2 linked regions of the Ovis aries genome follow. The protein of the gene in region 1 binds, or shares a complex with, the protein of each later gene. Links are inferred from orthologs where the notes say so. Each region holds a gene or a part of one and is shown on either strand. Other genes may lie near its edges.

Region 1 (3,830 bases):
AGGGTAATGACTGTTCTCCTCTCACTTAGGTAGACTATAAACCTCCAAGAGATTCTTAAAAATACCTTTTTTAGATTAATACTACACTTGAGTTTTCTGAGAGTGGTTTGGGAAGATCCCTGTAATACTTCCCAGGTATTAAGCATGCTCCAATGTCAGTTCTCTGATTCTTTCACACCAGTTAAAATTTCAAGGGCTTATAATTTCAGACTGTATCAGCATTCTCCTTCCCGTTTTGAATCAATGGCCATTAACTCGGCAATTTACCAGCTTTGATCACATTTTTGCCAGTGCTCTTAAGACTAACATAAAACTCAGAAAACAATAAAAATTCTATATCATTTTAACTCATTTCTGAACCTATCTGTGTCCTCCAGCTTGGCCCATATTCTGATCTTGAACATGGTTAAGATTCATGGCGACCTTTCCCCATGACATAAGTAGTGGGTCAACTCTTGACACTGACTCTTCCTGATCTTCCCACAACCTAGTGGTGACAATACATTTTATTTCAACTTACACAAATAAATCCTAAAATAACTACCTTGTCAGGCTGGGTGAAAAAACGCGCTGGCAGTACTGGGTCTTTAGGAGATTCCAAACTATATGTGGTGCTTTTTGACATGATGATATTCATGGCAACATCACACACAGTATACAGTTTCTGCAATGGGTATTAAACAAAAAGAAAAAATCAGGTACTTAAGTTGGCAAACTAGAATCTGTGAATTAGGAGTAATTCCAGAACATGCATTTAGTACGTAGTTTTCAGGACAACAGTGTAAGTTAATATACTTATTCTATTACTGTAATTAGTTTACTAGTAACAGCATTACTACCATTCTCTACTGATTCTATATTAACACGAATACTACTATTTACTACTAGTAGAAAAGACTGATGCTGTCTACAGAAGTCTTATACCCTATGCTCAAATGCTTAAAGTCAATACAGAATCATAACTATTTACAAAGAATTACATACTTCATTCATTTTTGCATCATCTGGTCCTTGGGCATCTTTTGTTTGTTTAATATTTTCTACCATCTTTCTGATAAACGCATGACTATTATTTTCATTTTTAGCCATTAGTATTTCCAGAACAAACCAAAGACACCTAAAAAATACCAAGAAAAAAATTCACTATTAAATACAGATATAATTCTAAATATAATGAACTCCAAGAGCAGAAAAAATTAAAAAGAAACAGCTAAAAATCAATAGAGAAAAAAAGTATGTCACATACATATTACAACGTATCAGCAAGGTAGGTATGAGTTCATAACATCCTTTCTCAAAGTCTCACTAATTTTCCTAGGTAGACAGAAAAGTTAAAAAGAAACAGAAATGGTAGAAATAAAGCAATGATCTTAATCCTGAGCTGTGGCAGGGATGGAGGGCTGCCTGAAGCAGTAACTGGGTCATAAAGTGGAGACTCTCATGTGCTAAGATTGACTGTGGTTCTGACTGCAGTCTTTAGGAAACGCAAACAACCGTGAGAGTCTTCATCAATAAATTGAGGGAAAAGTCAGGGCTGACAACTTTATGTACTTAAGGGAAAAAACAAGTTTAAGTACCTCAGTTTCAGGGTAATTATATTAAATTCTATGCAAGAAAAAAATGAAAGTCCTTTGTCTCTGTATTATGCATACAGAATGGGACAGAGTGATCGTACAGAGGAGAAAATGGGAGAAAAGGGAAATGTGAAACAAGGCATCATTCTGGAAGGGAAAAAAGTAACCTCTGAGACCGCAGGCATAGGTTACAGTTTCTTTTCTCTGAGAGAAAGGAGATCACTCAGGGCTGTACTAGACCATTTATAAATACAGCCCCAAATATTTATTTAGTAAGTTTCAAGGAATATTTTATCATTAAAAAAAAAAGTGTTCTAAGAAAGAGGAATGGCAAAAAGTTTTCCTTAGTATAATCATACTAACACAGAATTCATTTGGGAAAACTAATTGCTTATTTTCTAAAACTAGAAACTATGGCAAAAAGAGGGCAAAAGCCTTTTCTCTTGTCATGAGAAAATTACCAGTAATTTAATTTTATTCTCTTGAAGCACCACAAATACTTAACTTAAAATATTTCTATGAATCAAGAAACCAAGAGTTATTTTCCTTTAATAAGAAGCTAAAAGCATAAGAAATTAATTTATTCAAAACCACAGAGGTCACCCTTTACTATAACAGAAATAGGATCTCATCTCTATTTAAGGAAGTCTTACAAAGACTTCTCTAAATACCATTATATTCCCCCATCCCACACCCTGGCAGGTATATTCTTCTGGCATCTCAACAAGAATCTTTTAAAGAACTACAACTGTTATAAACCTAATTTAGTCAGAGAATCAACAGTGAAGTATGGGAACAGTTCCCTGGTTATCAACTTGGCCCATTATTAAATTAGATTATCTTTCTTCCTTACGGAGAAAGACAGGAACTGCAAAGGAAATATGCTTACCATGTGAATAAGAGTGTTAATTCACTCCACATAAAAATCTATACAGTGCTTCAGAAGAAAGTAGGAAGAGATAAGAATTACAAAGCAAACTCTTTAATGGATAACTTCAATAGAAAAGAAATGCCAGACTGGTAGAGAAACAGGACAGCAATACAGTAATTATGCTAAGTTGTTTTGGGAATTATATAAGAAATGAAATATGAAGAGATGGTAAGGGAAAAAAAAGAGAACAAATAAGGTAAAGAACCTTAAACTCCTAAGAAATGAAATAAATTTAAAACACTAATTATAACTGAGATTCCATTATCAGCAGGAAAGGGGAAAAAACTTCAGAAAATATGAAAATGGGATGGAAAAAGTCTTACTCTTTAACGTCTTTAAGTTGTTCAATATCCTGTACTTTGACATAATCTGGGTCATGCGCCAAAAGGTGAATTGTATATGGAACAACATACTCAGGTAGAAGAGACAATAATTTTTCTGAAAAAGAAATAAAACAAAAACATCTAGGTTAGAAAACCAAATCTTACTCATTCTCTTTCTCTCTCTGATAATCTTTATTTCTTGCATCCCAATAATATACCACAATATCACTGGAAGAAAAATACACTGAAAGGTCTAGTGCTGAGGTACATCATAAAGTTTATTCAGTTATCCATCATGGCCAATACTGATATGCCTACTAAACGCACCCTGTGCTGAGCCTACAAAGATAAATATTTCAATTTTCAACAGATACGAGAAAAAGTGACCCAAACTATACTCAAGACTAAGGAACATAAAATCTATTTTTCTTCTTATTAGTAACTCTAGGTTCAACACTCCCTTGTAAGTTGCTGTGCAAAAGGAAAACAACTAGTAAATCTTTCAGTCAGTATGGCACAAAAATAGGAAGTAAAGGTTGATACTATTTAATACAATTTACAACATAAAAACTGATAGAAAAGAACATTGTTTCTAGGGCATTTTAAATAACAATGAAGTATCTTTTCAGTTTAAATTCAAATGTTTTAATTTTTTGACTGAGATCAGTACAATCCATTATACATAGAAATGGAAATCCTAACTAGTTTTAATAAAGGTTACCCAAAAGACCAAGATTCATACTCTGAGCAATTCTTTTTATATTTCCTACTCTTGTAATTTTAAATCAGATGTTCAGTCTAGAGTAAAATAATGTATGTGTCAACAAGGCACCAAATTTTCTTTATTCCTATCACTGAACTCAAAGAGAATAAGCTTATGTGTAATATTCATTTCAAGGTAGGTACAGAAGAAAAAAGTAACATCAGTGAAATTTGAATTAAAGTCTATCAAACATGTAGTGAGTGCTTACTCTTTTCCAGACCTACTATTTTAGTAGGGCT
Region 2 (2,759 bases), on another chromosome or scaffold:
AGTGGAGGAAAGACGAGAATCAGGTGGTTATGTGCAGTAAGGGCTGTTCTAAGGTAAAGCACAGCATGCCTAGGAAGCCCAGGAGACCCTGGTGTCACTTTCCATTGCCCGGTAGGCATCTGGTGTGTTTTAATGGTCAGTCTTCTCTGTGGCCTTTCTGTTCTTGCTTTTCTCAACTCTCCTTTCCTGAAATCCTGCATACCACCACCATAGCTAACTTCCTTAAGAGCACATCTGATCATGTTAACCCTCCAACCCGCCAGTCTTTCTTGACTCACTGTCATTTAGGAAATGATAGCTTTGTTTACTGCTATAAGACTCCAAACTTAACTGCTTCTCCAGTATTTTATTTTACTGAAGCATAGTTGATCTAGTATTAGAGTCTGTCACACCCCTTGGTTGCGTTTCTAAATTTCTGAAGTAGGCCATGCCGCTTCACACCTTTTCTTACCTCCTGTACACTACCATTTATTGCACACTTTTAAAGTAAATGCTCTGACTCTCCTTCCCATGCCTTGGCTACTTACTGTGTTGTACTCGTAATTTGTTGATAGAAAAGGATTTGATTTGGGTTGTTGAGAAGCTTTCACTTGAAACCTAGGATCTAATTCTTTACTCTGAATGAGAGAGGCACCCTTTTTTGTTGAGCCATCTTCATAGCCAGCATCCAGTCTTCCCACCACCGTGCTACCCTGCCCCTCTCTGTGCAGTTGGTTAGGGTGCATTTAAACCCAGCTTTGCATTACCTCTGCAGCTAGCTGTTGCCCTCACGATGTGCCACTCAATATAGCCTCAGTGTGTGTTCAAAATACAGCATTGAAAGATGGCAAAATCCCTCAGGATTGGAGCTGCAAGCTTTTACTGAGTAGCTGTAAAAGTGGGAGAGAGGGGATTGGTTGCAAATTTCCTAAGAGGATAATATGTACTCTTCCATGTCTTCATCAACAAATACGAAATCAAAAGCATCCCTCTTCCCGTCTTTTTTTTCTTTTTGTATGTGCTTTTTATTATAGGTGAGCCTCCTTAGAAGAGCTTTTCCTTTTATTCTTTATGAATCTTTAAAGCATTTTAAATACGTATTGAAATAAAACAACATTTTAAGCAGGCCATGTGTTTTTCTTACCATAAACTGGTTTATATACAGTTTGGCTGCTTCTTGCTAATAACGGAGGGAAACATCCTAATCTTCTGTCCTGACATTGCGTACATTTTTTTTCTATAGATGATACTAGATTTCCTTTGGAAAGATACAGTTAATTCCTAGCCTACATGAAGAATTTTCCTTGATCTTTTTCTTTACATTCCTTATCAGCTTTATGGATACTTTCTCAGTCTGCATTTCCTTGCTATTCTTATCCCTGCTCGTTCTGCCCCACCCCCTACAGTACATTTTGTTATTTCAGGCATTTTTCTGTGCATTTACAAAAGTAAATATGCACATAAATGTTTCTTTGTAGTCTTTGGCAGCTTTATCTTTTTCCTTTCTTTCTGAGGATGGGATAGGGTGGGGTAGAGAATGGACTCACAGGTCACAAAAGTTAGAGTGTGGAAAAGGAAATTGCATATTAACCAGGGAGTTTAAGGACCTTGTATAAGTTTGAAACAGGATGTGTGCCAAAACCAACTACACAGTGCAAGGTTCAGACTCCTGTGTTCTGCCACCTGACCAGTGCTCCTTTGGTTTGTTTCCTTAGATCAATGTGACCACTGTGCGGGAGTATCTGCCAGAAGGGGACTTTTCAATAATGACAGAGATGCTCAAAAAATTCCTGAGCTTCATGAATCTTACCGTAAGTAACTTGTATTCTGTGGTTTTACATACGACACACTATGACAGTAGAAATGCAGGACTTCCCTGGCAGGCCAGAGGTGAAGACGGCACCTTCAGTGTAGGGTGTGCAAGTTCAGTCCCTGGTCAGGGAACTAAGAGCCCACATGATTTGCAACCAGAAAACCAAAGCATAAATACTGTAATTAAAAGAAAAATTCAATAAATACTTTTTAAGAAATGACAGTAGAAATACAAGTATTATGGCCATCATGAACAGAAGCAAAAAAATGATTTTCCTTTAATAATTGCATGGTTTCTTTAAGGTAACTGAATTATTAGGGCCAAATACATTGATACTGTATTATGAAAGCCATAGTTTGATCTCACCTTGTTTTGAGTCATAATGTTTGGTTTAATAAAGCTAAATAGTTTAAGCTCTGATGCAGTGCTTTGGAGAATTAACTGTGACTTCCCCTCCACTCCCACCGCCAACCCACCCACCCCCCCCCCCCCCCGCCCCCGACCTCCACCCCTCCCCTTTCCAGTGTGCTGTTGGAACTACGGGCCAGAAGTCCATCTCTAGAGTGATTGAGTACTTGGAACACTGCTAGCTGCTTGCCCTTTGCTTCAGGTGCTCGGCAATGCTGGAGCTATACTTAGACAAAGAAAAGTCACGGAAGAAGTCCTTGAAGATACACCAAGAACATTCATCAGTATCATTCATATTTGGATTTTTAAGGCCACCTGATTTCTTCTTCGTCATGCATTCTGCATTTGCTAAATGACAGTTACTACATCAATCTGCAACTATCAAAAATGAGGGAAAAGGTTCAGGCTGTTAACAGTTCCACGCAGTATTTAAACACACTTTGGCAGAATTTATACTCTCCCCTTGTTCTCTTGCTTTGTTCTGGGCAAGCTCTAGGGGGAAACTTGTGCTGCTGTTAGTGCAACTGCTGTGTATGTTGAGCCACTGTTGTCATGCCAG

Evidence for each region.
Region 2: the proteins of PDS5B (region 1) and WAPL are in contact, whole or in part, in a crystal structure (PDB 5HDT), measured with the Homo sapiens proteins. The link is inferred for Ovis aries from reciprocal best matches to the Homo sapiens genes PDS5B and WAPL. Residues at the interface, in NP_055847.1 of Homo sapiens: Gln47, Phe88, Ala92, Pro93, Ala95, Trp137, Val138, Lys139, Ser140, Asn142, Ile143, Phe145, Glu146, Glu187, Gly188, Asp189; in NP_055860.1 of Homo sapiens: Lys7, Thr8, Tyr9, Ser10, Arg11.

The regions. Positions count from the first base shown.
Region 1 is NC_056063.1:28,630,244-28,634,073, forward strand, and holds part of PDS5B (sister chromatid cohesion protein PDS5 homolog B), read right to left. Parts: intron 2,944-3,830; coding exon 2,829-2,943; intron 1,118-2,828; coding exon 985-1,117; intron 665-984; coding exon 545-664; intron 1-544. UniProt on the Homo sapiens protein: Regulator of sister chromatid cohesion in mitosis which may stabilize cohesin complex association with chromatin. May couple sister chromatid cohesion during mitosis to DNA replication.
Region 2 is NC_056078.1:40,190,020-40,192,778, reverse strand, and holds part of WAPL (wings apart-like protein homolog), read left to right. Parts: intron 1-1,694; coding exon 1,695-1,994; 3' UTR 1,995-2,316; coding exon of another isoform or gene 2,317-2,382; 3' UTR 2,383-2,759. UniProt on the Homo sapiens protein: Regulator of sister chromatid cohesion in mitosis which negatively regulates cohesin association with chromatin. Involved in both sister chromatid cohesion during interphase and sister-chromatid resolution during early stages of mitosis.